Linked DNA regions of Styela clava. The protein of the gene in region 2 purifies or fractionates together with the protein of the main gene of each other region. This does not show direct contact. Links are inferred from orthologs where the notes say so. Each region holds a gene or a part of one and is shown on either strand. Other genes may lie near its edges. The genes, in order: ATP-dependent RNA helicase A protein-like, uncharacterized protein LOC120345481, uncharacterized protein LOC120343293 and U5 small nuclear ribonucleoprotein 200 kDa helicase-like.

Region 1 (7,791 bases), on a different chromosome or scaffold from region 2:
TCCTATCAAACTACAAATGGTTAATTTAACCAATTTAATTTTAAATAAATTTTTATTTTTGTACAACATGTACAGATTCGGCTTGAAGGTCCATGCCTACCTGTATCTTGGCACCAACAGTGGATATGATCCAATAGCAACTCTTAAATATTCCAGTAGTCGTGTCATGTTATCATTACATGTACAAGTAGTCCCCATCATATTTTCATGTGAAGTTATTTTTTCATGGCAATTTTTTAAAGAAATTAGCATTTTGTCATTTTTTTTAAACAAGTTCAAGATTTAGGTTCCAGCTAGTGACAAAAGATACTACTGTATAAATTTCAAATCTCGAATGGATATAATACAGGACAAAACATATAAGAGAAAAAACAAAATATCCTTGAATGATAATCATGTATTTATATAGATATAAATACGAACCGATTTTGGGGGTACTTCAGAAGGCTTCATTTTTCCAGCTCGAACAAGATAATTAACAAAATCCCAGGCAGCGTTTGCTTGGGCATCCTTCTTATTTGTTGAGTTTCCTATTCCAGCATAAGGTATTGTATCAACTCTGAGCTAAAAATAATAATAATAGTTGAACATAAATTAAGTTTGATACCTAAAGAATTATAAACTTTACTATATTTTCATATTATATGTCTAAAATAGTCAAATCCAATCAGTGAAGCAATTTACATATTACAGAAATGAAAAAAACACTCGAATATTCAAAGCAACTCAAGACTGCATGTCATTGGCAATATAAATAGTTTTTCCTTATTACCAAATTGGCTTTGTTAAAGTTAAATCATCATTAATGGAGCAAAATTTATCCCAATCCACTCATGTGGCAAATAATAAGTTTATTCATTTCACCACAAATGTAGTAAATGGCTTGACAGTTGACACTTCAGTTGAAAAATGCAATGAACGATATTCTCTGCTTACCTCACATTTAAATCTTGGTTTATACTTGTTGCCACCAGCTTGAACATCATAAACTGGAGTTAGCTTTTGTTTTCCAAGCCATGAATATACAAATGTCTTGACTTCAGTCATAATGAAAAAATGTCATACTACAGAGAGACCTTACGATATTCAACTAATAATATTAAAAGGTATTGACAAGATACTTGCAATATAGTTTTTATTTAGAAGAAACCTAGCTTTACATTTCAAAACCAATAAACACATTAAACTTCAATTTCAATTCGGAAAAATCAAGTAGCATCACCAAATTTGCATTAGAAACTTAATGAGATGTTACCTCACTAGGAACATTCGGACAATAGGTTTGGAGTGCATAATAAACGACAGTTAATGAAAGGTACAAAAATTGAAGACTTTTGCATAATGTTAGAATAGAAAAAATAAAAACAAGCATCAGCTTTATAAAACATATAATATACATTAATATATAGGTTTTTTAAGAAAGAATTGCCGAGTCTAAAATCATTTTATATAAAATTTGTGTCAGAAATGTAAGTTTTTTAAATAAATACTAGTTGATATTATACTCATACAACAATCTTATGTTCTAAAATTAAAATCAAATAAACATTAGAGATTAAGTATACGACAATCAAAATATTTAAAGTACCAAAGATCTCAAGCCAATTTTTTCCGTAAACAGTATTAAGGTAGGTATCCTGACCTGTACATTATAGATACTAATCTCCCTCAAAATAAATAGGAAGGTTTTTATTATCCTGATCTTTCGATAACTGTTTCAAGTCATTAGCTAATACAACAGGTAATCCATCAAAGAGTTGATCAACTTTCGAGTCAAATGTAGCAATAGAGGTATATTCACAATTTACCACCAAGTAACGGTGCAAGTAGTTCAAGCATATTTGCCTTAAATTCAAAAGAGGATTCACAATTTCAACGGAATGAAATCTTTGATGTTCTCCACTCCATTCAACAGGAAAGTAGATTTTCTCAAAGTTAGGAAGGAAAGTGAGTGGATGTCTGAAGAAAAAAAAAACATATACTCTTGAGTGGAGAGTGAATGCAGGAATATGAATAAATTTCTCAAGCAAAGAAGGAGATTAAATAATATTTAATCCTACTACAATACTAGACTATATTCAAAGAAATTAGTCTAATCAGAATTCAAATCAAAAATGTAGTTTTAACATTCAGATCGTCGAGAGTACCGTTCTTTCAGCAAAACTGATATTTTCACAATGGAAATCCAATTTGAAAATGAAGATAAAATTGAGAAATTGAAATATTTTGCCATAATCTCTCATCTGGCTGTGAGTTAAATGCAGAAAAGTGGTTCGTAAATTTAGAAATTACCGTAGGTTATACAATGATACAGTTCATGCATAATGTAGGTAATTGCTGAATTACCGTAACCATAATTAAAAATGAAGGTAAAAATACCGGCTAACAGATTAATGCCTGAAATCAATAATCGCAAATAATGTTTTCTAACATACTGACATACCGGTATATAGTAGGGTCATGAAGAATAATTAAATGCTAAACATGGAATAGAGTCATAGACTACAACTAACCCAACGCTGCAATGTACCACAAGACATTTCTGCATTTAGGTAGACTAGACACTGCTGTACAGCAGTACAGAGATGGGTTAAGTACGGTACCTTGAAACCTCACAAAATCTATTATTGCAGTATTGCATTACCAATCCATGCATCATCTTTCAGTCTCTGTATTAACAATTGCTAGATTGCAGATTATTCTTGCCACATTCTATGACAAGAATTTTACGAATTTAATGCATATTTTCCGAAATTACTCCAGTACCGGTACCGTACTCTCCACTCTGAACATCCATACCGTACCTGCAAATACTCTCATAAAAAACCCAAGGATGTGTCTTGAAAGTATCCATCAATATATAATCTCTTGGTTCTAATCTGTCTTTATACACAACATGATTTCCCTGAAAGTTGAGCCATTCAACAGAAACGTTCCTATCAGTTTTGTTAACAAATTTTGCAAAAGCAGGGTTTTGAGAATGTTGAGATCGTTGGCGTTGCTGCAACGGGAAATCGGACATAATGCATGAATTGACGACGAGGCACTTACAATAAAATCTAAATACTGAAATATACCGATACATACAGTTTAGTTCAACTCAACCGTCAACTTAATTCAGAAAATTAAACGCTGGCGAAGACAGCAGTATGAAAAATGTATTCGCAGCCATTCCAGAAATAGAAAGGACTAAAACCTACTAAGGCCTACTTGGACGTAGAACTGTAGAATGTGGTTAAAACAGGGAAGTCTTTCAAGTTAAAACATGGTTCCAAAAATGGTAAAGGTTTCTCGAATCACCAAATTGCTGGCTTGGCCTACACATTTATATGCAGGTTTTAAGTTGAAGCTGAAGGCGCCGGCTATGAGAATTGCGAGATTTTCAAATATACAAAATATGATAACCGATATCCATTTACTTATAAATATCAGTTATTTTTTTCCGATGCATGATAATGGACTTTGTTCGGCTAAAATTTGTGACCTCCGCCAGAGTCACTTTCAAAAAGTTCGTTCGTAGTTCCACCAGATTCGTCATGTCTTATTCAAGCGCTGCACAATACAATTTATTTACGCATTAGGATTGCTGTGGACATGGAGAAAACGGGAATAAAACTACGCTCCGTAACTACAGTGTACCACTCATACTGCGCATTGGTCAAATCTCGCGTTTATAACTATAATTCGACGACTCCATATTTGTTCACAGAAAATAACAAACTCGGGCACTATTCTGCAAGCCCTGCTCACGTACTGAAAATTATAAAGTCAAGTACTGTACAGTCCGGCATCATTCTCACGCCGAGCTTAACCCATTATTAGAACATGCCTAGGTTTAAATTACCAGTAGCACTATATCATTTGAAAAGTTTGCCTTAAATATCACTGATTTTTAGATAATCTTAAGACCTCCAATTTAACGTTGGGAAAGGAGAAATAGAGTAACATACTTAAACCATAACATAATCAAAGAATTATGATTGCTATTTTATAACCATACGCCTATCAAAATGCAACAATGTTTGTTGCCATTTTTTAAATTCGCATCAACATGGAGTATACCATAAAAAACACATGATATCGCCGGGCCAAGGGATCGTCCGAGTAATTACTTACCTCTTCTTCGACCGTTTTCTAATTTGATCACAGTTAATTAATAATGTGATATCGCTAATCAGTTTGAGCGGGAATGTGCGCTTCGCTTTTCTCAACCATTCACTGGAGTTAGTAATGACGAACGGTTTGTCTGTTCTGTAGGAGCTTTTCAACGTACCGTAGTCTTTAATTTTTTTTGGCGCAACATTACAACATTAAGGTAAGCAGATGTTTTTTGATAAAAAATATATATATATACTAAGTCGCTGGTACAATTCTGCTACTTTTGGTATTATGTTTTATAAATAGCGAATTATAAAACTTGAGGGGTTCCGGCAAATCAAGATTTCAAGTGTCGATAATCGCGAGATAAACAACATAATCAAAAAGGTTGAAGCAAGGAACTTCCGAGATAAAAGAACAATCTTTTATGAAATCCAATTTAAACCTAAACCAAAGTTTGATTCCCCGGTGAGACAATTTTTTTATATATATTTAGATGGGCATACAAAGTTGTACGGACTAATCAAGTGGGACTTGGTTACCCGAATAAGTTAGACTTTTTTCATTTTGCACAATGTTTCTTGTTTTATACACATTTGTAATTTGGTAATCTGTTGCATTCATAATGTGGGTCGATAGCAGTATATAAGTTCCATTCCCATACGCTCAATTGCAACCAATGTTTTAAAATGTCTTTTCGTTGTTCCTGGTACTACTATGAATATCACGTTAGCAACACCCGTTTCATATAGCGTCCAATTATTAGAGTAAATTAGTGTAAATTTCATTGTACAAAATTGAAGGTCTATGCGAATCCTTTTATATAAAACGTATTACATATATATTTTAATAAATAAAAATTGTGTGAATATATTTATTTATCAAGTATTTATATTTACCGGTAGATATACTGCATGGTTTGACAATTGTGTGGATCATTGTTGTACAAAGAAATATCGACTATAGACTGGGGAATTTACGTTTGCAAACATGCGACGATAGTCGTTACACAGGGGTAAATATTACACGCTTATGTTATATAATAGATAATCTACAGCAGGGGTGTCAAACTCGTGGGTTTGAAGGCCGCATTGCATTTTGGGAATTGTGCAAAGGGCCGCAAACAGATTTGATATATTTTGATAATGTATACTTGAAGCATATTTTAAATAGGTGTAGTTTGTGACATATACTGTGATGCAATTAAACAGTCAAATGAAGTTTTGTTATTTTCTTAAATTTTAAATACCATTTACATATTAATTTTTGCATTTCACTATTTTTGCAATTTACTGTATTTATTACAAAAATTTTATTTTATGTATAACTATCCAAAATATTTTTGAACAAAGTTTTGATAAGGAAAGAATAATACATACACTAAAAATGACTTAATCTAAATATATAGATCTAAAATTTACAATATTGCTACAGAATGAACTCAATGTTTTTTATTGAACATGTCCTGACTTTTGACATCTCTTTTGTGCCACCAGCTTACTAATATCAGGCTGAAATGATTTTACAGTATCAACTCTGATTAACGAGGTCACATGATCATCGGTTAATCTGGATCGTTGAGAATATTTGATTAATTTCATTAATGCAAAAATATTACGTTCATCATTCCATGTATAGATCAGTAAACAAACAAATTTTAGAACCAAACTTTTCCCGCCACTACCTTCACGTGGCATAGGACCGGTTGAGTTATGATTGATATTGATATTTAGTAACTAAGTATGGTATAATCATAATAGTATACAAACACATAAATATTTTCTGTTCGTAGTTGATCTTTAAAATTGTCATATTGACTGCTGAGCTTATTCTGATGATGTCTACTCATATTGTATTCTTTCATTTTACTGATAGAAACGTGAAAAATTGATCAATGCGCTTTAGAATTTTGAGAAATGCAGAAATATTGCAACTCCCCTTTTATTTAAAATTGCCACTTTTTTCATGTACTTTGTGTTTCATTTAATTCCCGTAGTGTTTTTTTTACAAGTATTCTTTTGCTAGCTTGAGGTGTATCCATACATAATTGTGTCAAATTGAAAACAAAAACATTCAATTTTCCAATGTTATAATTGTCGTTTTCTGTGTGAATAAGCAGTTTCACTTTAGGGTTTGAAAAATGTATTACATTTAGGTAACAAAATATATATTACATTTATTGTTAGGCGTTCGAGGGCCGCATTGGAAATTCTCTGGGGCCGCATGCGGCCCGCGGGCCGCAAGTTTGACACCCCTGATCTACAGCTTATCTGGCCATTGAAATAGCATATAATCTCTGGTCGGAGCCTTAGAGATAACCCGCCAAAACACTTTGAACTAGCAATATTTACCTTGTAAAAAACTTTTTATTTTATTTTAAATAGACTCCATAAATCGAATATAATTTAAGTTTATGTTCACCACCAATCAATAAACGATAATATCGGTCGGAGACCGAAGACTTATCGATCGAAACTGCGGTTTCGATTCATGGCTCTATAGTGACACCGCGTGTCTCATCACTAATTAATTAATAATTCGCTAATTATACGACATAATTTATAAAATGTTTTTCTACTTTAATTTCAAATTTGAAAAAGCGGGCCGAGATGATTCTTCAATGGCTTGTTGTGAAAACATTCTTGACGTGTTTATTTTTCAAGAATTCAATACATATAAGTAATAATTTTATCAATGCATTGCAACAGTACATTGAATTTGCTTACCCAATTGACTGGATCACTGAGACTATAGTAGGCTTTAAAATATTGTTATACTATTTTCAAAATTAATAACAGCAGGTGTTATTGATTTTATCCTTTCTATTACAGTTTTTTTTTCATTTCCAAGTAAATGAAAACTAAGGCTAACTAAAAGCTTGTTATCGGTCGTGCTCGTTGGTTGTGTCAATTTACAATAGAAAATCTATCAGGATAGTGTATTGTTTTTTGTATATTTTGTTTCAATGACACAGCTCATTTTGCTACATTTACGAATTTTCAGAATAAACAAATAAATGAAATTGAAACTAATCATATTTTTCTAGAAACAAGACAAATTTAAAAAAGAGAACAAAGCAACAAAGTAAGCGACTATAAGGAACAGTTGTTCTACTAGGCCGATTTGCATGGTAATTATTAATTGAATTATTATATTATTGATCAGTTAAGTTGAGTAAAAAAGTAGACTTTGTCAAATTTCACTTTAAAAATTTTAGAGTTCAACTTTCACTGAACTATAGCGTCTAGAAATAGATTCCCCAATTCAATCTCATTCTGAATAATAATAATACATCTGAACACCTCAGAGATTAAATTAATGATAAATTGAAAAACGAACGTTGCGACTGTGCAAAACAATCCAAATGAATTCATCTGATAAATGCCGATACAGCTGAAACATAAAACAAAGTAACCTTCCATATCTTACAGTTCACTTTCCTTCCTCCATCTTACAGACAGGGTCGGCTATAGACAATACTGCGTGCGATGGATGAAGATCCTGTGACAGCACCTAACCGATTTGGAATAAGTTAGCTGGATGCCAGTAATAATAATATTATGCAGCTTTCAAGTTTTTTTTTATTAATTCCGCTGATTTATGCTTCACACAACTGAGCCTATAAGGAGGTTTAATAGGAGTTTATGTGTGCGTTTACCATGTGAAACTGCGCTGCATTTTTGATATTTCCTA
Region 2 (7,303 bases):
TATCCACTGCTATCTCTGTCACGATCACCACCACCTCTACCACGACCACCACCATCTCTTCCACCACCTTGATCAAATCTGCTTCCTCGTCCACCCCCCCTACTGTCATATCCTCTACCACCTCCGCCACCTGAAATAGCCAATCATTTACAGGTCAGTAACATAAATTCACCTCAGCGAAAAATTTAAAAAACACAGACAGTGATTGAATTATATTCCTACTTGAGCAGGAAAATATTTTTTAAATGATATTGCTAATTTCACACTCTAACCATCAAACAGATGGCTAAGTTACTCACCAGAACCATACCCTCTATCTTGATAACCCTGGTTCTTATTTCCATATTGCCCCATGGGCCCCTGTTGACTTTGATTATAGTTATTGGGACCCTGGTCTCCACCGTAGTTTCCACCACCTAGCATGCCATAAGAATAAGTAAGTTAGAAATGGGAATATTAATTTATAATTATTTAAACTTATGTATCAAGCAATATAAATTAATCATATATATATATATATATATTGTTTGAAACTAAACGAGTATAGTCCAGCTTACCAGACTGATCATTTCTGTAGCCGCCTCCTCCCCCACCACCTTGCTGACCATAAGACTGTGAACCTCCCCCGGAACCACTGTCCCGTTGGCCGTATGATTGATTTCTGCTACCTCCGCCAGACTGCAAGAAAACAAACATTATAAAAACAGTTCATTTTCAAATTCACCCAAAACAAAATTTCAATTCACCTGGCCGTAGCTCCCACTGCCACCTGAATTTCCACCGGATCCATACGATTGCTGAGACTGCTGTTGTCCACCACGATGACCTCCCCCATATCCTCCTTGCTGCTGTCCACCATAGCCACCTTGCTGCTGACCACCATAACCACTTTGTTGTGGTCCACCATAACCACCTTGCTGTCCACTGTAACCACTCTGTTGTTGCTGACCACCATAGCCACCACCTTGCTGTTGTCCAGATTGCTGTCCACTGGCTCCACCTTGTTGGTAGCCGCTATTGTTTTTCTGACCACCATAACTAGTACTACCACCAGCAGAAGCAGCAGCAGCAGGTGCAGCTCCAGTCTGCTGTTGTCCATAACCCTGGCCTGGAAAATTGATATGTAGTACAGGATATGACCAATCAAATACATACGATTTAACCAGGGCTGAGTTAAGGGGGATTTAAACGAGATTATCAAATCTGAGCTATTTCAAAAATGACTGCTGTACCATGCGTCCGATTCCTGATTAATAAAAATTTGGCATATGATATCGGATTGAAGCAATTTCAACTCAGAATTCCAGCTACGAAAGATAATTTGTTGATGTATTCAAGCCTTATTTCATTTTATATCAAGACTTGGAAAACGCCCAATAAACCCAATACATTTTAGTTTCCATCTGTGATTTTGACTCCAAGCAAATGTTTGGAAGTCAGACTTCTATTTCTATTAGGACTCCGACTTTATATCAATAAAAGCATGTCAAACTCTGACTCACTGTCTCAGTCATAATTATATTGCTACCACATACCTCCAGATTGGTTGTTCGATCCATAGCTGCCATAACCACCCTGTTGCTGATAGCTTGAACCATATCCTTGGGCACTAGTCACTCCGCCTGCGCCTCCGCTTTGTTGCCCACCAGCTGATCCATAGCCCTGAACAAAAAATAAAATTTTTTAACATTTTGTAGGGACCAATGATTATGCAAAACGGGGATTGCCAGAAGCAACGATGGTTCACTATTGATTGAATATCGTAATAAATAAAACTCTTTTCTAAATTCAGGTATAAATATTATTATAGGCTAATGTATTTAACATTATTATAATTTTGATGTCTTACTAACGTAAATTCAATCTTAAAATTTTAAAACTGTTCAAATACAATTTACCTGCTGACCATAACCTTGAGTGCCACCCCCGCTTTGAGAGTAATTAGATTGTCCATATCCCTGTCCACCAGATGCACCATAAGATGGCTGTCCATATCCACCGGAGGATCCATATTCTGGAAAGTACAAATTACAAATTTAATTTCAAACTTGATTATTTGAATATTTTTAAAGCCTACTGTCAGTGCAAATATGTTTGGATTCTTTTAAACTCAAATGACTGAATGATGATGATATTGATAATGATGCTCATTACAACCGTAGGATTTTCAGTGCAGCCCTTTCAAGATTATTTTGGATTAAATGTCGTCTTATAACTTTGGACCAACTATTTTACTGTCACTTTGTCATTATCTGATATAGAAAAATAACAAAAAAAATGAAAAAAGTGGATCAAAATTTAGGCTGAAATACAGTGAATAATTTGTCATGACACCTATAATATGCGAAGGACGATTGATAACGATATTGTTCCGAAAGCCTTTTTTTCCCCACATTGTATATCTGTATATAGTCACCCGATAAATATTATCTAGCACTGTAGCATGCATGTGGCCGGTCCTATTATCAAATTGACAGATTTAAATTCGTGCATAAATTACTCTAAAATCTGAAAATGCCAATTTGACGGCCCTAATTTAAATTGCTTTCGATAAATTCATTTAACAGGACTCACTTGCAACGATGATTGTTTTTATTTATCGCTGGTTATGTTATTCATATTTACCTAGTAATGCTTGGAAAAAAAATATTGCGGTTTTGAGTCAATATGGAGGCCCAGACTGTCTCGTAAAGGAGGATTTGCAATCACTCTTATAATTGATGTCTTTTGATGTCGGGGTTATAGCCTACCTACAGTCAGACAGTCCAGCAGTCTGAGTGAACGGAGCGCTTAGTTACTAGATTATTATTTCATAAAAACTGCTTAAAAATAAAGACAGTTTCCAAATGTTGAATAAGAAAATGACATAAAATAATTCACTTACGAGAATTAGAAGACGCCATAAATAAGTAAATCCTGTTCCACAAATAAGCTTGAAGAGTCGACCAAGGACAGACGGATAAATCGTCTGAAAGCAGAAAAGCGGGAAAGCGAAAGAAATCAGCGACGACAGTACGACACGCTTATTCGTTGAATTGACGTTGCCAGTTTTTTTCTATTTGATTACCGTCATTTATTTACTAAGAAAGTCAAGATCTATCAAATTCGACCGTAAAGTAAAACCACAGTGTTTATTGTCTAAAATACAGTTTTAGCAAGTGCAAGAATGTGTTTCTTCTAATATAGAGTCTTTAGATAATTGTTCATCTTCACTTGTGCGTGTGTGTGTTGTCAACTCGAATGTCTCCTTTGCCACTGCAAATTTCCAAAATAATATTATAGTACAAACCATTGTTTCAATTAAAATGTAGTTGAAAACTATTATATTTTTTGTGCCGGTGTTTAGCGAATACCGTTCAATTGGCTGACAGAAAGGAGTACAATAGATGACAAGTCGAAAAAAACTTTCATGAAAAATCTGGCAAAGCAAAAGGATTTAGTCACGTGAGTAATGACAAATTTTAATTTTTACAAGTAAAGCGAGAAAATCGATAGCGTCGGGTTACATCGACGCTCGCCCATCGACCGGTTCGGTTATCGACTGTACCGACAAAAGTAACTCGTACTCGTAACAGAACTAATATAAGGAAAATTGGAATAAAATTGTGGCCCAACCCTAACCTGGTACACATTCTACGTTCCGGTGTCCGCCACCTTGGTACGCATACTTCAGGACTCTAATTACCGCACCTCTAATTACTCTGCGTGGGTTCGCAGGTTCGAATCCCATGCAGGGATGGTTATGTGCGAGAGGATTGCTGGACTCCTCGCCGTCGTTGGGTGGTTCACGTAACCGCTGGTCGGTTACGGCTTCCTCTATCACCAAGTCCATGCTTCCGAAAACAAACAATACAGTTATACATATGTATAAGCCGTCTTATCGGCTTTCCTCTCCCCCGGGATAAATATGTAAATCCTATCCTACTTCCCTTTAATTTTTATTTGATAACGGGAAAAAAATGATGACAAGAATTATCAACCCATTAATATTCAAATCAAAAAATATTCAAACCGGTAAAATTTTTAAACAAGCCTGCAAAATTGCATGTCGAGGCACCTAGGCTTCAGCCTACCTTGCATAATGATGAATCCGGCACTGGATACTGTTGGGAAATAGGATAGGATAGGATTTACATATTTATCCCGGGGGAGAGGAAAGCCGATAAGACGGCTTATCCATATGGCGAACCACGGCCTCTCGTCCGGTTACCATTCCAAGTCGGGTATGGGATTAGTTTTTTACTGTATTGTTTGTTTTTTTCGGAAGCATGGACTTGGTGGTGGAGGAAGCCGTAACCGACCAGCGGTTACGTGAACCACCCAACGATGGCGAGGAGTCCAGCAATCCTCTCGCACATAACCATCCCTGCATGGGGTTCGAACCTGCGAACCCACGCAGAGTAATTAGAGGTGCGGTGGCGAGCGTATTCCTAACGCTTAGCCCGTTGAGCCACACCACCGCGCCGATAGTTGGTGATTGATAGATTCACCCAAATATTTCATTGACGATCAAATTATTTCGGTTTGCTTAAAATGTCTCAAAATTCTCACGATTCTGGAAAAATCCATTAAAGATACAGTATTGACAATAAATATATATATCTAGGGCATGAGCTAACATTAAGATTAATCATCCGTGTTCTGAGAGACACAGGGTTTGAATACATCATTTTACATAAGGATATGAATAAACATAAATTCGGAGAAATTTCAAAAAATACGTCGTGGTACTATTTGAAAAAGAAAAAATTATTCATGAAGATTATATGAAGTGATAGCACGACGCATTGGGGTTTCTGCAAAATCGAATACCTCAGCCCTTTGTGTATATTTTCCTTACCATTTACAGCTTTTGATAAACCGCAACCATCATGGGTTGTACATATGGTTTTGCTCAATGTTATTCGACTAATCCAGATGTGTACACATATGATCCAGTGATATCCCTACACCCCCTATAGGGGGTGAACACCCCCCCTAAAATTTCAAACACCCCCCCCCCCTAATTTTGAGGTGCGATTCCACGCTGTTATTCCGTAATTCCTAACTCAATTATAATTGTATTTAAATATAACGACTATGGCATATTTATCAGTGTAGATGGGGGGGCGGTGTTATACAGAATCAGAATTACCATTACAAATTATATATATATATATATATATTCGAAAATAAAATATTCGAAACTTACATCCCTGAAAATTTTTTCAGTGCAACTTAGGCCTAAGTAGCATTGAATGGCATCAGTCTCTCCATCAAATTTGATTATTCTTGGATGCAGAATATGCCTAAATCCTCTATGACAGCGGTTCCCAAACGGTGCGCCGCGCCGAGTTGCTAAGTTCGCCGCGAAAAATAACAGAATTGTGTTTAAAAACAACTAAAATATGATTGAATATTTCACAAATTGTATTTATTATCAATTTTTTATTGTTTCATATTTTAAATGCTGTGTATATGAATCAATAAATTCATTCCACGTTTCTATGTCGTTTACTTTCTGTTAGGTAGGGTCTGCCTGTATTGTTACATAACAATGCAGAGAGACACTCTTTGCTGCAGTTTATTTATCTGTTGGACCGGGTTTAGCGAACATGAGTGATTAGTTTACAATTTTATAGGAAAATCAGGCAGAGATGAGGAAGAATAGTTGACCTTTTGCCTTTGTTCTATAGGCCTAAATGTTTACAAACTTTGAAAGGCATATAATAAAATTGAGTTTCATTTAAATGCAGCCTTTTTTTTCGTACAAGTGCGCCGTGAGTGTGTAATTCCTTGCTATTTTACTTTTTCTCTGACAGTTTTGAATTGCTAGTTCAGTACCAAATATGAACCCATACGTAACTCGTCAGTGGTGATTTATTTCTAAAATATAGTATAATAATAAGTATTTCCTACTTTCGTTTCTAACATTTTTGATAACAGGTAAATCTGAAGTACTTTCAGCTTGCCTTCAAATTTTTGATTTATCATAATATAGAGTGAATAGGTAAGTACATTTTTTTTTGTTGTTTCGCTGTCGCAAAATATTATATTCCATATGAAGCTATTATGAGATAATACACCATATATTTTTTTAAAATATACTCTGTAAAATAGTCAATGTCCAACTTTTTAAATTTCGCACAAGCAAATTCCCGCGTACTCGCAAATAGGACTTTATACAAATGACATCTGTTTACTGAAGCTTGTAAATTTTGTTATTATGTTTTCTTACTCTGAAATATATTTTTATGAATGATAGAAATCATTCGAAACCTGAGCTAATCCTTTCTAGAAACCAAGGATGAATATTGCGGAACGCTAGTTCAATATTATCTTGGATTTTATCTGCATTCTTCTATCACTGAGATTGTTTATCCCATGTTGCATTTGAAGCACTCATTTAAAAAATTGAATAAATAGTAAAAACATTTTGCTAATGGCGTTTAATTATAAGACATAAACTGAGAAATCACTCAGATACATGCAATTTTATTAAAAATACAATAAAAAATTATTTTTATATATACATTGCGACACAGGGTGTCTCGGATAATAACAATCAACCGCTTTTTTGGTGTTATTTCTAGTGATTTGTTTGAGTTGGCAATAAAAGCATGATTGTCTAATGTAGCAAAATTCAGTTGCCTCAATATTTCAGTGGTTATCACCTATATATGTTATACATCACAACATTGTCTGTATTCCTTGCACATATACTGGGCAGATAGAAGTACCGACGATGGAACGACGTTTTTAACGTGTTTACTCCGGACATTATCACAACATATCCCAAATAGTTCGCAGAAGGCAGACTTTGTGTGCAATACAGATAAAGGCACACCCATTTTATTTGGGTCTAGAGCATTTTCTTTCTTTAACGACTTGAAGGAAGAATCCATCGATCCATAATTCTTTTGTACCCGTTGGCATAAGCCTCTGACCTTGTAATTATTGCATTTTCCATTCAATTGGTGCTTATCTTTGCATGTAAATCCGGCATTTGGCCCAAAATGCTCGAACACATCTCCAGTTTCGCTGGCAAACTTGTTCCCAAATTGTGTCTTTGCCTGTATAGCGACGAGGTTCTCACACCCAAAATTATTACTTTCCACGGTTTGGCTGTAAATCCATTGCGTCCAGTAGTATTTGTCTGAAAGTTCATGTGGAAAGTCGGTGAGTCCAATTGTGCCAGGATAACAGGAATACCGGATCTGTAAATGTGAGTCTCCTCTAACATACCTAGTTTGCGTTTCCAGATATTTGTTACAAATTTGATGAGGTCTTTCCATTGTCATGCGATGCTTGAATGCATGTTCGT
Region 3 (8,267 bases), about 14 Mb from region 2:
CGCATGCGCGACGTTTCAGACGTTTTGCAATGCTGTGTGTATACCATGAGGTCTGGAATGTTTGTTATGGTCTTGCTTGAAAGGAAATCTTATTCCCCACACAACGATATGAGAATGAACCTTATATGACATTTAGAAGTGATAAAATTTCGCTTACATATCACGCGTGTACTTCCCGCTGCGATATAAAAACGTCGCACAACAAGAAAATGATTCCATAAACCTTGGCGTTGCGCGCAAACCAATAACAAAAGCTAGTATGATAAGGTCTTATTTTGAAGGTCATTTTATATGCTACATAACATAGGAGAGTGGACATCTCACAACGTCAGGAAGTTATAAAAATATCGAGTCGTTTGATCGCAGCTGCCTCACCGAAAAAAAGTTAGGCGTTTTATCTCGCAAATTCTCCTTGTGTGACGATTATAAGCTTTTATGATTCATAATAAATGTTTTATTATGACTCACAAAAGCTTTCAACGCGATAAAGCACAAACAAACAACCGATCGATCTATCAAGCTTAGCCTGGCCTGATTCGATGTGGTGACTTCTCAAACGGAAAATTTCCAAAACGTTTGAACAACGCGCGCTATGGAAAAGCGTTTAGTATCATATGAAAGAGAAAACCAATGTGCAGTCAACTGTAGAGTCACATTTCAGCTTTACAATAGCGATAGACGACCAACAGCTGATCGAATGAGAGAGTGTAAATATTTTTGTTATTTTTTGACGTTACGAGAGACCTCTTGAAAGAGGTGTTTTAGTTTACGGTCCTCCAGTGACATCTAGCGTATAGTACTCTAAAATACCTTTCCAATGGTATATAATTATTGTATATTGGGTAAATTTTGGGGGTCGTATGACATTAATAAAAATGTATTCAAAATTGGGCTCGATTGAGCGTCTGAAACAGGTTAACTTAATAATGAAAATTAACGTTTTAATGACAAATCTTAAGAAAAAAAATATTTGAGTATTTGTCAAATTACCTTTACTTTCTTGTTTTTCATCACCATTTTCTTCTGCTTGTTTCTCATCTGTTTTTTCACCAGCTGTATTGAAAAAAAGCAAAAATTCAAGTTATAGTAAAAAAAATTGACACATCAATGAAATATTTCACAGAAAAATTTTTTTGAGGGAGCGTGAAGCTGATTAAAAATATTTGTTAGACTGGATTTTGAAGGCCTTATTTGTGTTTAAAACATTTCATTTATTTTATTATTTACAACAAATTCTAATTCTTGACAAATTCTAAAAAGGGAGCGCGGCTTGAAAAGTTCGAAAACCATCGATCCACAGTATTGTATGCTTTTTTCCAGTAATTCCCCATAATTCTAAATTATATTTCAATCTTACTTTCACCAGATTCTTCAGTTTTCGTTTCTGCACTCTCACTCTTCTTTTCTGCATCTTCCACATTTTCAGACATTTCCACATCTTGCACATCTCGTGGAGTTGAGAACTCTTCTTGCTCAATTTTTGGAGCTTGTTCTATGTTAATAATTCAATAAATGCATCATGAATATGAATTTTATAAATTTTATCGAAAAATAGTTTTACAAAATTCTCAATAGTTCACCTTCTTCTTGTTTTACGTCTGCAGTTTGATCTGTAGCTGCAGCATCGTCACTAACTTCTTCTGCGGGTTTCTGTTCTTCTTGTTCTTCAGTCTGCTATATACGAACAATAAATGAAAACAGTCAGTATAACAGGACGTTATAAGCATAGCGTATCACGCCAAACTATTCAATCCTAAATTAGATGATTCGAATTGGGTCATAAAAAAATTCGAATATATAATTAATAATGAAAGAAACTATGTCAACTGGACAAATGTAGCCTTTTTCTACAAACAGGTAATTTTAATGATATCGAGTAGATTCCGAATTCAATTTTATATCAGAGACTAGGACCGGCATGCTCAATAACATTGGATATAATTGTCATCCAAGTAAGAAAAGTTTTTAATTTTCATACTGAGAACCTAATTTTTACAATAGAGCAGAAGATCCTATTTAAGAATAAAAAGTGTTTTGTTTATCTTTTTAATAATGAAAAAACAATACATTGAACCAACGTATCATTGACATTATTCGAATATTTGGTTTTCTATTGATGACTGCAGTAGCACTATGAACAAGGTTCTGGACGAGCAGTCACTGCTAGGCAAGAGCTATTATATTTTTGAATGACTGGAACTTGCCCAATTTGCCATTGCCTACTTAATTTCTTACACCCTGGGTTAAGCGCAGGCATGAGATTTCAACAGAGATTTATAACTTACCATGCCAACATACTCAAGTCTAACGCTTTACCCAGAAGGTCCACTGGATTGAAACAAAATATAAAAGGGGACACAAAGTTGAAATATGAAAAGAGACACAGAGGGTTTACAAATACATTCAACAGTGACTAACTTTGAAAAATTTATACTAACAGCAGGTTCTGCAACTGGCTCCGCAGTTTCCATTTCTTGTTTTGATTCCGTTTCGGCTTCCTCAGGCTGAGGAGGTTCTTCGATCTGTTGTTCAATTTCTTTTTTCTCCTCTTCTTGAGGTTCCTGTTGTTCAACTGGCGTCGGTTCAGCAACATCCTCTGTTGGTTCCTGCACTTGTTCTGTTTCATCGTTTGCTGTACAAAAAGATTCAAACTCTTCTCCGCCTGCTTCCTCTTGATTCGGTTCACTCACTTCTGGAGGTGGCTCTTCCGCAGGCTGCAAAATGAGCCAAAAATTTGCATTTTCTCTCAATATTATAAAGAGCAACTGATAATGAATCCAGATTGCCTAGCAAATAACCAATGTTTTAAATTAGGCCGATCGAGGTTGAATTGTTAAATGTTACCATAATGTTGTGTCGAACTACTGACAAAAAAATATTATGATAAAAAATATTATTATAACTGATTGTGGATAAAAAATAACTTTAAAACTATATATATTATAACATACTTCATCCTCTAATATTGAATCTCCCCCTTCAACTTCACTCTGTGCAGAATCGTCTGGCGCTTCTGACGATGAAAATTCTCTTTCTTGTCCTGTTTCGCCTTCGACAAAAAAAGAAAATAACGATTTACTTTTATATATATTATATGATAATACAAAATATGATTCAATACAAATCGTATACTCACTTTCAACTGCAGAAAGAAGCAAAGCTACAAGATCAGCCTTTTTCATATTTTTTGTGACAGAGATGCTACGACTCTCCAATTCCTTTTTCAACTCTGCTACTTTCATCCTTTTTGGATTTATTGAAGACATCTTGCTATTTTTAAGTTCAGATGTAATTTATTCTAAACTGTGAAAAGAAATTTATATACTTTCAAGTTGCATAATTTATCATTTCTTTTGGTTGTTCTTGTTTGATATATAGATTTTGACATGGCGGAATTTTCGTTTGACAAATATTTGTTTAAAATCAACGGGAAAGATCATTAACCAGTAAACATTAAAACCAGAGAAGTTTCAAAATGTATCGTATATTGAAACTTTGAGAAAATGGTAGAAATGGTGTTTTCTCTATGAATGCCAGAAACACGAACCAGAAACAGAACTACGAAACACTTCAATTCAATGATTGTAGGATTGTCATATTCTGCGGTCTTTACTATGATTGCGCTTTAACATCAAAAAAATGGAGTGAAAAAAGATAAATAGATAGAAAAGTGTTTAGGTGTCTTAAATTTTTAGATTTACAATGAGGAATGCCAGAATACTGGAATACACTTGAATGTACACATTAATATTGCACACACACCTACAGACCTATGTTTATTTTAAATGTTTTAAGTCATAATAGTCTACTACCGGTACATTCGGACATTAATTGAAGCTTTAATTCAGTAATTCCAGGATTTAGTGTTTTTGCGTTCCTCTATCGGGTCTCCCTAAAACCAGGCACTTGCGAATTCAGGCACTTTTTCAGGCACCATTTCAGGCACTTTGATATTTTTTATTTTTACCGTCGTCATTGGGATTTCCAATTTACCTGACAAGATAATTAGACTTTAAACAATTTTTTGCATCCCTATATTGCAATAAAACAATATTATTTTCAATTTATTAGGGTATAAATAATTTTCGAATAGTAAAATGTGGCAACATTAATTACAAAATATAGAAATCAGGCACTTGTGAAATTTCAGGCACTTGGTCAAAACCTATTTTACAATGTATCTGATTACTCTAAAACAGAAAATTAAATATATACACTTTGTATGGTTGAATTTGCAACACTTTGGTAAAATACAATACCGTTTGTGACTGATGGAGACGTGTCATATTTCGCAAGTGCCTGATTTTTCATTTTTCTCGGTGACAATTGCCATATTTTTTCGCAATTATTTCCTTGAATTATTTGCGTCAGCACTTGCTATTCTTTGCTTTCTAACGCAAATTCATTGTTTCACAACAATTTGAGCGTTTTTAATATTGCAATGAGCAATACCATTTGACAACATATGGTCAACCATCGTACTTTCTGGATTTATTTGAAATTGAATATGAATAATAAAATCTGGCAACCTCAAGCACAAAATACTAAAACCAGGCACTCGTGAAATTTCAGGCACTTCGTAAAAACCTATTCCTCGATGTTTTTACTTACTTTGAAGCAGAAAACTAAAATATACACTCTTTTGTATAATTGAAATGACGTCTTTTTGGTAAAAAACAAGAACGATTAGGACTGGTCATGAGGGGTCAAATTTCGCAAGTGCCTGATTTTTCATTTTTTTCGATAACAGTTGCCATATATTTTCGCAACAATTTTTCTAGATTATTTGCGTCAGCACTTACTATTCTTTGCTTTCTAACGCAAATTCATTGTTCCACAACAATTTGAGCGTTTTTAATATTGCAATGAGCAATACCATTTGACAACATATGGTCAACCATCGTACTTTCTGGATTTATTTGAAATTGAATATGAATTATAAAATCTGGCAACCTCAAGCACAAAATACTAAAACCAGGCACTTGTGAAATTTCAGGCACTTCGTAAAAACCTATTTCTCGATGTTTATATTTACTTTGAAGCAGAAAACTAAAATATACACTCTTTTGTATGATTGAAATGACGTCTTTTTTGGTAAAAAAGAAAAACGATTGGGACTTGTGATGAGGGGTCAAATTTCGCAAGTGCCTGAATTTTCCTTTTTTCCGATTACAGTTGCCATATATTTTTGCAATACTTTTCATAAAATCTTTTTCGTCAGAACTTACTAATCATTGCTTTTTAAAGGAAATTCCTAGTTATACAACAATTTCAGCGTTTTTAATAATGCAATGAGCAATATCATTTGACAACATATAGATAACCATCGTTCTTTTTGGATTTATTTGAAATTGAATAGGAATGATAAAATCTGGCAACCGCAAGCACAAAATACTAAAATCAGGCACTTGTGAAATTTCAGGCACTTTGTGAAAAACCATTTCCCAATGTTTTTGATTACTTTAAAGCCGAAAATCCAAATATACATATTTTGTATGACTGAATTTGGTATTTTTATTGTTCAAAACAAGAAGAACTGTCACTGGTAGGAATGTGGCAAATTTAGCAAGTGCCTGATTTTTTGGTTTTGTCAATGGTAGTTGCCATATCTCTACAATTTTTTTCTTTTTTTTTATATGTTGTTTCCCTATTGCATTATTTTATAAAAGTCAATGTTTGTATGAGAGCTTCACTTAGCATAAATGGAATTAAACTTTTAACATCAGTATCTACATCCGGAAATCGGTATTTAATTAAACCAATCACGCTTTTGCAAAACTATTTGAATATTGTAAAGTTTGAATGACATTGTGTTGTTTATTTTTATTAATTGAAAAGTATGACATATGTATTATTTAAATACGGGTTTAAATTTGACAGATCTGTAAAGAATATTAGTTATTCAGACTACATCTTTATAGTAATGTTCGGAACCCTTGAAATTGGTTCAAAACTTCTTCTAATTTGTTATAAACATTTCGACGTAATATATTACCCAGGTAGCAACAATCGCATTGTTATAAAGAACCTAATTCGTCTTCTGGCAATATTAGTTCAAAATTCCAGTTTTAATTATTGTTATCGGACGACGATTTTAATAATGTAATTTGGCCTATGACTTCATATAAACTACATAACAGAAACAATTGACTTATGTCGTATAGAATTTTTTATAAAACGTATCCAAGTCACATTATCCCCTAATAGAACATAATTTACCGTTCACAAAATGTATAAAAGCCTGTGCAAAATCTATATTGACAACCAGCGGTGTTCAACCACGGCTACAATAAAGATATTCAATCACTTGCTGTTGCTGTTGTATAATATTCTTTACAACCTGAAGATCTGACTGTAATATCTTTTCATGGATAGTTTACGTAGAATTATTTGTACATTATTTCATGCTGTAACAGCTAACTGTAAAACACGTAGTTCCTAAATAAGAAGAATGGCTACAGGATGGTAAATACGAGATGGCAATGTCACCTAAACAAAATTCGCTCCGCGAATGACATCAGGTAGCTGATATGCCCAAAGTTAGGCTTAAAAGCATCGTTAAACGAATATTACAATAAAAATCCTTCAATATTCAACACGCCAGTAGTCAGTCAACAAATGTTTTTGCGTTATTCAAAAAGTTACAAATATATAAAAACGTAAAACAGTAATTGTTTTTAATGTCACAGAAGCCGTATTAAACTCTCGATTATAGATTTTTCTTCATCAGTAATTGGGGATATAAATTTGAATTTAAATTTATTAAGGAGATAAAACATTAAAAACACAACTTCACAAGGGAAGTGTATGAGTGAACACTAATCGAAGCTTTCAGTTTGAAAATTATTAGAAATATTGAGTATCCAATGAAAATCCTTACTATTTTTTCAATTTTGACATGATATGATTTACGTATCTTGCAATTAGGTAAAACCACAGATCTAAGAATTGAAAATTCTAAATGTCAGTTCTGAAATTAAACATGAAAAGGTTTTGTGTATATTTTTCTACTTTTATATGTCGGGCGTATAGTTTCTTCATGTCGCGAATGAGCATCAGAATAGGTTGTGCAGAAAATGGTGCTCCCGTAGTATGTGCACAAAGTTGGCACACAACCCGAACATAGTATCTTGGAGCACATAGGCTACTACGGGAGCGCCCTGAAAATACCCACATTGGCAACACCGACTTACCGAATACAAATTTTACACTTCCACAATTTCGCTTTCGATACTTTCTCACATGTATAATGATACCAACGCTTGCAAACGAAGCATTGATATTGTACGTGCTCCCGTATACATTTCGCACTTTAACAGACACTCCAATTATTATTTTCCAGAAAGCAAAATTCATGCATCGGAATGTCAGAGTATATGAGTGGCGACGATGCAGTGCGACAACGTTCCAAATGTGATTGAATTTTTGTTGACTCCGACTTGTTCAATATTCCATCTGGGCGTTTTGAAGAGGTATGTACTCACTTCAAATATAATTACTTGCACCACCTTCGGGCAGACGTCGAATTGAAATTAGCGATAAGAATAGCACTCAATATACATCGGATTGTCTAAAAAACATTTTACCGAGAAAGCAAAGTATAGTAAGTACTAAGTTCTGACGAAAATGATTTTATGAAATATATTGCAAAAATATATGGCAACTGTAATCGAAAAAAATGAAAAATCAGGCACTTGCGAAATTTGACCCCTCATCACAAGTCCCAATCGTTTTTCTTTTTTACCAAAAAAGACGTCATTTCAATCATACAAAAGAGTGTATATTTTAGTTTTCTGCTTCAAAGTAAGTATAAACATCGAGAAATAGGTTTTTACGAAGTGCCTGAAATTTCACGAGTGCCTGGTTTTAGTATTTTGTGCTTGAGGTTGCCAGATTTTATTATTCATATTCAATTTTCAAATAAATCCAGAAAGTACGATGATTGATCATATGTTGTCAAATGGTATTGCTCATTGCAATATTAAAAATGCTCAAATTGTTGTCGAACAATGAATTTGCGTTAGAAAGCAAAGAATAGTAAGTGCTGACGCAAATAATCTAGAAAAATTGTTGCGAAAATATATGGCAACGGTTGTCGGAAAAAATGAAAAATCAGGCACTTGCGAAATTTGACCCCTGATGACCAGTCCCAATCGTTCTTGTTTTTTACCAAAAAGACGTCATTTCAATCATACAAAAGAGTGTATATTCTAGTTTTCTGCTTCAAAGTAAGTAAAAACACCGAGAAATAGGTTTTTACGAAGTGC
Region 4 (7,865 bases), on a different chromosome or scaffold from region 2:
GAAAGTGAAAAAACTCGAAACAATTCAATCTCACTCAGAGTAGGTTTCAGTAGTTGGTTGTATGTTGCCATGCTCTCATGGGTGCAGTAATAATGACTAGCAATCCGGCCCAAATCTGTCACTTGCAAGTGCCCAGTTTTTCTATCATATTTGACTAAATTGCTTTTATCTAATATGTTTGCAGCAGAATGAATCAAGTCAACACGATGTTGTTGTAAAAGAGGATCAGCCTTTAGTGCATCATGACTTATGGAGTATAAAGTAGGCTGTCGAAGCATTCTAATGTACAGGTAACTGTACCCAAGCCAGTTCACAGCATCTCTGACATTCTGAACATTACCCAGCACAATTTCAGCATTCAGCATATCTGGCAGTTTGGCAACCATTTGACTTTCTACAGGCAATTGTTGATTCAAAAGCGACAAGTAATATTGCAATTCACTATGGGATGTAATAAGAACACCTTCACCCTTGGTGTCATATTGTGGCCTACCAGCTCGTCCCATCATCTGAAGTACATCAAGTGCACCCAATTCAACCCATCTACCTTTTTCTGGACTGTACACTTGTGTGCCTTTGATGATGACAGTATGAGCAGGTAAGTTGACACCCCAAGCAAGTGTGGCTGTTGAAACAAGTACCTGAATATGACGATCAGCAAATAAATCTTCAACCAATGTTCTGTCAACTCTTGACATTCCAGCATGATGGATTGCGAAACCGTATGGCAGAAGATCTTTCAATTCTAAATTCTTTACTTGCTCAGATTCTGTTCGTAAAACTTCTGTGGAAGCGGATCCTTCTCTCAAAAAATGTCCTAGAGTGTCATTTTCCAAGCACATATCTCTAACAGCACGAGCAGTTTTTCCAGTTTCTTTTCGTGAATGAACAAAAATCAGAACTTGATTTTTACCTGCATTTTCAACAACTTTTTCATAAACAATTTCATTCATAACCTGAAACCTCTTGATTGCTTTCTTTTCTGTTATGCCAATGTATTGCTGTTCTAAAGGACATGGTCTAAAACTGTTGTCAAAGAAGAACAACCCTTTGGAGGGATCAACACGCAAGAATGTGGCAACATCTTCATAATTTGGTAAAGTAGCAGAAAGTCCAACAAGTCTGACATCCTCTTGAGTTGTTTCGATGGATCTAATTGTCCTTGCAACAACAGACTCCAGGACAGGACCACGATCATCATGAAGCATGTGGATCTCGTCAATAATCAACAGACGTACCAGCTGTGTGTATGTTCGTTCACCACCTTTTCTTGTCACAATATCCCATTTTTCCGGTGTGCAGACAATAATTTGTGTGGCATTGATTTCTTCTTTGCAAAGCTGATGATCACCTGTCATTTCACTGACTTTGATGCCATAAGCGGCAAGCCGTTTTCCGAAATTTCCAACCATTTCTTGTACCAGTGATCTCATTGGAGCGATGTATATTATTTTAAAATCATTAACATTAATCGTTCCATCAGAATTGATGTGCTTGCCAATTTCTCTCAACATAGTCAAGAGTGCAACATTTGTTTTTCCAGCACCAGTGGGGGCACACAGCAAAATATTCTCATCACTTTCTAGTGTAGTCTTGGAAAGTCTACTCTGAATCCTGTTCAAACTTTTAAACCCTTCAAAAGCCGCTTGGGCATACTTGGGTAAAGTATCAATTGGAACAAGTTTTTCATCATCAGCAAAAACTTTTGGTTTTAAAGCAGGTACATGCACTTCTTCGTAACCTTTACGTTGTTTGCGATAAGAACCATCTGGTAACTGGCATTTTTTATTTGCCATCAAGTGAGATCCTTGTTCAAACATGATATCTTCAAGATCAACCCCTTTGCTTGGCTGTAAAGTTTCATCTGTCTGGTCAGTTTCCATTGCTTCTAGATCAGCATCAACTTTGCTTCTGCGTAATCTTTCTCTGCGTTCTTGTTCTTCTTTAATGATATCTTCTTTCTCAGTTTCGTTCAGTTGCTGGAGAATCACTGACAATTCTTGATCGTTCTTCATTCTATCTTCAATTTGTTTTTTTGCAGCTTCACTTTGTGCACTCGCAAGTAAAGTGCAATATAGAATCATTTGTCGATGTTCACGCAAAATTTTGATAAAATCAAACTGATTGAAACCGAGCAACATTACCAATTGATTTTCACATTGTAAATCATCAACCGCAGTCTTTAAAATTTCCAAGACTTCTTCTGCCTTTTTTTGCGAAACGATTGCATCATCATAAACTTTGCTCAAATTTCTTTGCAGCCAATAAGCATCAACATCGCGAGGATGTAGTCCACGATTCTTAATGATATTGACATTTCCGGCTTCGTTGGTAAGATTAGCAGAAACAACCATATTCGCATCTGCCTCTACGCCACCTTCTTCATCATCATCTTCATTTTCAGATTCCTCCTGAACTTCACCATACCTGTTTTCTTGGTCTTCTTCTTCATCATCCGATTCAAACTGGACGTTGACACCATATGTTTCATCAATGTTATCATCTGCGGTTTCAGCATCCTTATCTGTGCCGAAGTCGGTAATCTTTTTGCCCAAATTTACCAAAACATGATAGCGAGTATCTTCTTGAACTCCCAACAGTGATTGAACTTCTTTTCGTCTTTCCTTATCACGCAGTTTATCATTCTTAAGAACAATTATCACTTCGTCAGCTGCGCCACAAAGAATGTCTCTTGGTTGGTCACCCAATGCAGCCTGGATAAAGCTGAGTAAAATCTCGTACGTTTCTCTAGTTTCTTTTGTTTTTGGTTTATATAATATATTAACCATCTCATCCATTCCCTCAGATAACAGAGTTGCTCCTTTCAATTTCACAGAAGATTTTTGATCCTCGTCACGCTTGTATCGCTTTGCTCGACGCTCTTCCATCTGTGGTGGTCTTGTACGCTGCGCTCTATCACCCATTTTTGATCCAGTTAATTTTCCCTGCAATGAGATGACTTCTCCTGTCGGCTCATCTCTTGGTCGTCTATCAATGAGTGATCTGTCTGCTTGCAATACAAGATTAGAATTGGCTTTGTATTCATATTGCAGTGAACGGGCGGAGGCATCCGCCATGCTGTTTTTTTATTGACAGCGATTCCTCTACAGATTTAATATATCTGTGGTAAAACATAAATAATAACATGTGAAAACGGTTGATGCAGTTTTTCTAAACAAATTCAACTAGCAAAGCATATTGTATGTATTGCCCCACTCATAACCTCCGTCTAATAGTAATTTATGTGATTCTGCACAACAGTCTTAGGGTGGTGCAGCCAGTCTGCAGACAATTTCATTCAAACCGCTATAAAACAAAAACCAATATTTCTAACCCGTTAATTTTTTCACCGTAGGTGCATTGGCATTTATTCTACACGACACTCTGAAGACGTATTTGGGACCGAACGACCAGTTTGTGATCACGGATTTCAAGCCTTGAACATCGTTTCTGCTGCGTCGAGACTAGGGCAAACGCAGCCATGCGTGGAAAAATGGGCTTCTAATTGCATTTCTGACCGTCATATATTTTAAGAACACGGTTATTTCAAACAAAATTCTTCAAATTATAAACAAAGCACCGCATCACAGCAATCAAACAGACAAAAACACGGTGGTCGCAAATTAGTTGACAAAGATATTATTGACATATTGGAAATGCGCACCCCCCTACTTTGAAGATAGAAACGCGAAACTTTAGAGATGGTTAAAAGAAACACAACTCTACCCACCTGCCAAGTTTCATCTCTTTATCTCTTATATTTGTATGGATTTTCAAGCTTTTTTGAAGGAACAATGGGTAGTTGGCGACATGGTAAAATGGTCCGTTTTTTTTTTTCGGTCGTAACTTTTTTATTTGTGGCCGCATTTTAGTGTAATTTCGCAGAGCTACGAGGGATAAGTGGACGATAACGCGTGAGAAATATCAGCGCGGTTCGTTATTTTTTACGGCATTAATTTAATCGATGAAGTTGATGGTCGCAGATAGGTCATGGCCGCTAAGTGGGTAAGCCACCCTATACTCTACTGATCTATGAGAGTGATGCTCGAAAATATGACAGGGAGAATTAACAACTTTCCTTGGGTACAGATTTTTGCAAGCTTTTAAACAGTTTGAATGTTCATTTTACAATATTTAATAAACTTTGTTCAACTAATATGTCACTAACAAATTTTTCATTTGCTTAATCTTTCAATTACCCTTCAGCACAGGAAAATCTGTAAATCGCTATTGATATAAAAGGGCATTCGAGTCTATACTTGTTTGAAATATGGTTTAATCTTATAGCATAACCAGGCCTTTCATTCCAGCATCCGGTCACCAGCCCATGCCGTGTATGGGATTACAGGATTAGTCAGCCAGTTATTTCTTTAAGTTGCATGATGGTGGCGGGATCCATGCCTAACCGACGTCCCCAACAAAATTGGAACTTGTGAATTCTGGAATTACCCCTGCTTGGGGTAATACAGTACCGCTACGAACCTAATCAGCGTATTCCTAACCCTTATGCCTTAGCATGATGACTTACACTTCCGAGGCGGCGCATATTACTGTATTATTTATATCTGTGACTGTACCGTAGATATACTGAAGATGAACAAATGCCTGTGTCATGAAATCTCAAGTGCATTTCTCAGTTTCTAGTAAATCACAGTGCTCCATGGCATTACATGAAGACGTGAACATGAAATAGACTAAACTTTTCATTGAATCACTGACACGAACTAAAGTGTCGAAATTATTTCCAATTTTTGACAAAGAGGAATTTTCGTGTGTTTGCAATGTTCTAACCAAAACCTGAAAACGCTAAATTACCGTTTTTTATTTTTTGCTAGCGCACACACACCAAAACCAAATTCTGCAACAAGTCTTGATGTTTTATATAATCTATATCGATAAAGCCTTGGTTAGCCATGTGATAAAGACGTCTCTCCCAATACTGCAATACCGCAAAAAATCTCATAATTATACCTATAACAATAACGCGTGTGGGGATCAGAAACTTTCAAAAACTGAGAACGCACGACAAACGTCGGCATGATGTGCGCGGAGTCAAGGAAATCACACCTAATTGCCGGATAATGATAACGACAATTTAGGTGTAACAGACTCAATGTGAGAACCACCTTCACACTGAAACTTTACATATATGCATCGAGCTGATACAAAAAAGTTACCACAGTGTCCAATGAGATAATAAAAACTAAAACAATGCAGAGAAAATGCACAGACCCGAAAACAATGGAAGAGTCCACGCGCGGTATCATCGTCACTTTGTATTTTGTGAGTAGAAGTTTATTTCAACTCCATAATCAGCATAACTGGTAATAAAATTATTGATAAAACAAATAAATAAAAACTGTTTATCTAAAAATCCTTGTTCCTACTTAAAAGAGGCTGATTCAAACAAGTATAGGATTTGAACCTAAACCAAGCCAGCTTCATGAATATATAACATGGGCACAGGCTAAAATTGCTGTCACAAGCCAAGTGACCACCGTAGTATTTGTACCTGAAACTATGGCCCAACCCCTAACCTGGTACACAAACTACATTCTGGTGTCCGCCATCTCGGTACGCATCCTTCAGAAGTGCCAAATTTTGAACTGAACATCACGAGGCTACCCAGAACTAAAGCTGGTTTCAGGGATGCAGTTTTAACAGAATCGTAACTTGCTTATAAAGCTTAACATTCATGTTTGTATGAGCTCTGCTTCACTATGGTTTCCCCATGGTTTACTAAGAAAAACAACAAGCATGCTTTACAAATACTTCCTTGTGCATTTAATAAAACAATCAAAAATATTAGCAGTTAATCGGTCACATACAAATTTCATACTATAGAACCGGCAATCAATATAAAGTTTGTATACAACGGAAATGGTAGTGAAAAAATTCAATTTGTGACAAAAATCCTATTCAGTGGAATAAAAACTTTCGAAGATATAGATGTAATGACATCTAACAAGGGGACTTCCACAAAGTAAAAATATGTTTCTATGGAGCTTCCAGTTGGTATAAGCATGTCCAAAATGAAATAAGAACACTTAAAAAATGCAGAGATAAATACCTTGTTACCTACCTCACAAAAAAGGAATTTAAACTATCGAACTATGTAACATAAAATTAGAGTTCCATAAAAATTCAAAATCTATCACAATCGACCAGCAGTCAGTCGATTATGGTTTGATATAGATCAATTCATTTCAGGAACAAACGAAAGATTTTAAAACCTAAAAATTCTTCATAAGCTCCATCACTGAATCAGACTCCGTATTTATGTTATTATATGATTCGAGATGAAACTTAGTGAAGAAAATGTAAGCGGACACCATAAAGCAGCAAATATAGAAAATTGCCTAGAAGAAGATATGTACAAAACTTTCATTATCATTATAAGAACCGCGAAATCCTAAGAAAGCAGTAGTATTGCCAGAGCCTTTATTGGCCTCACATTAATAGGCAAATGATTTGTACCAAGACCATAAGAAATGAAGTTGGCAAATATATTGACAGTTACAAAATCGATATTTTTAATGATTGGCCATAGACTGAACTATCCCTCACAATAAAGGCTCCAGACCCTCATGGGTTAAAAAAGCTATGGTTATAAAAGAAAATAGTTCACAAGGCCATATATAAACACAAATACTGATCCAATTATTAACCTGTGTATCGTTGATATTGCTTCTTATAAATGCTGAGACTGATGAAGCGATAAACTAGTACGAATTACTGTAATACAGAGCGCCAGCAATCCCTGAACTGTTGAAACATACCACTAAACAGGGCGATGATATTAAAACTGGAAAATCCCGGACGAATAAATTTAGCAAACCATAACAAAATAAATCAAGGAAGTAATTAGTAAAAAATAAAGAGTTGAGATAATAGCTTTAAAAAACATATGTTTCATCCACCATTGCTATTGCCCAAGCAAATTTGTCACGTTGAGTTTTATTGTAGACTTTCTCAATTGGAACATCCCACTTCTTGCACCTTGAAACAAATATAATAAGTTTAATAGAAATTAGTGTTGTATTTAAGGTTACCAAGGTAAAGAATTAAATTAAATAATGATAGCCCAGATAACCAAAAAAGTTAACACAAATTTCACCGAGTAAAGTGGCATAAAAAGAACAGAATAAAGATTTTGAACATACCAAGCAACACTGATTCGTGGATCTAAGTAATTGAGCTTAGATGTTCCAAGAGCAATCTCCTTATTTTCTTCCTGAAATTACAAAATAACCGATACATGAAATTACACTGCAATATAAAAAATACAAATCGAATATTAATGATTATGTTGAACAATTGATATTGCTGAAAATGTATATTGTTCACTATGATATTGTGTCGATGCTATCTTAATATAGCACAAAATGTGCAAACATACTCTGTCAGTAGCTTGTACTTCCAATTTGATTAATTGTTCCTGCAGTCTTTCAACCTTTTTCTTTTTAGTTTCATATTTTTTCTTGTTGCTTTCTGTTTTATGGTGCTTGAAGTCTGATTTTGCGCTTTTTACTTCCTGTTTGGCATCTGCTATATCGTCTTGTTTCTTTTGTATCTGTAAAGACAGCGATATAAATTTAGCATTTTTATCTGATATGTCACGATTGACGATTTGAGACAAAATATTAATATAGAGCACAACTATACCCTCTCTCTTGCTCTTTGCATCTGTTCACTAAAATTTTTGGGAGCAGCACGTTGATGGTTACAAAGAATAGCTACAGCTCTGTTGCTTCTGTTGTATGAAAGCATACGCCCAGCCAACGTATCATCAGCTGAAGATGAAGATATTAGGAAGGTTATTAATTTTACTGCACATTTGCATCAATAACAGACATGGGCAAAAT

Evidence for each region.
Region 1: the proteins of uncharacterized protein LOC120345481 (region 2) and ATP-dependent RNA helicase A protein-like purify together in Homo sapiens (affinity purification with mass spectrometry; 4 studies listed by BioGRID and IntAct, with this or other methods). This does not show direct contact. The link is inferred for Styela clava from reciprocal best matches to the Homo sapiens genes FUS and DHX9.
Region 3: the proteins of uncharacterized protein LOC120345481 (region 2) and uncharacterized protein LOC120343293 purify together in Homo sapiens (affinity purification with mass spectrometry; 3 studies listed by BioGRID and IntAct, with this or other methods). This does not show direct contact. The link is inferred for Styela clava from reciprocal best matches to the Homo sapiens genes FUS and HNRNPUL1.
Region 4: the proteins of uncharacterized protein LOC120345481 (region 2) and U5 small nuclear ribonucleoprotein 200 kDa helicase-like purify together in Homo sapiens (affinity purification with mass spectrometry; 3 studies listed by BioGRID and IntAct, with this or other methods). This does not show direct contact. The link is inferred for Styela clava from reciprocal best matches to the Homo sapiens genes FUS and SNRNP200.

Annotation. Positions count from the first base shown.
Region 1 is NC_135252.1:13,018,385-13,026,175, forward strand, and holds the start of ATP-dependent RNA helicase A protein-like, read right to left. Parts: upstream 3,185-7,791; 5' UTR 2,805-3,184; intron 1,960-2,804; 5' UTR 1,048-1,959; coding exon 937-1,047; intron 565-936; coding exon 424-564; intron 1-423. UniProt on the Homo sapiens protein: Multifunctional ATP-dependent nucleic acid helicase that unwinds DNA and RNA in a 3' to 5' direction and that plays important roles in many processes, such as DNA replication, transcriptional activation, post-transcriptional RNA regulation, mRNA translation and RNA-mediated gene silencing.
Region 2 is NC_135250.1:20,547,159-20,554,461, reverse strand, and holds the start of uncharacterized protein LOC120345481, read right to left. Parts: upstream 3,043-7,303; 5' UTR 2,904-3,042; coding exon 2,885-2,903; intron 2,015-2,884; coding exon 1,899-2,014; intron 1,663-1,898; coding exon 1,536-1,662; intron 1,109-1,535; coding exon 747-1,108; intron 679-746; coding exon 558-678; intron 417-557; coding exon 300-416; intron 131-299; coding exon 1-130. Other genes in the region: salivary peroxidase/catechol oxidase-like, read right to left, coding at 6,663-7,303. UniProt on the Homo sapiens protein: DNA/RNA-binding protein that plays a role in various cellular processes such as transcription regulation, RNA splicing, RNA transport, DNA repair and damage response. Binds to ssRNA containing the consensus sequence 5'-AGGUAA-3'.
Region 3 is NC_135250.1:6,302,433-6,310,699, reverse strand, and holds the start of uncharacterized protein LOC120343293, read right to left. Parts: upstream 3,301-8,267; 5' UTR 3,267-3,300; coding exon 3,137-3,266; intron 3,050-3,136; coding exon 2,952-3,049; intron 2,715-2,951; coding exon 2,439-2,714; intron 1,675-2,438; coding exon 1,581-1,674; intron 1,493-1,580; coding exon 1,358-1,492; intron 1,054-1,357; coding exon 991-1,053; intron 1-990.
Region 4 is NC_135263.1:8,545,127-8,552,991, forward strand, and holds the start of U5 small nuclear ribonucleoprotein 200 kDa helicase-like, read right to left. Parts: upstream 3,118-7,865; 5' UTR 3,078-3,117; coding exon 1-3,077. Other genes in the region: DNA topoisomerase I, mitochondrial-like, read right to left, coding at 6,897-6,999, 7,164-7,234, 7,400-7,573, 7,666-7,793. UniProt on the Homo sapiens protein: Catalyzes the ATP-dependent unwinding of U4/U6 RNA duplices, an essential step in the assembly of a catalytically active spliceosome. Plays a role in pre-mRNA splicing as a core component of precatalytic, catalytic and postcatalytic spliceosomal complexes.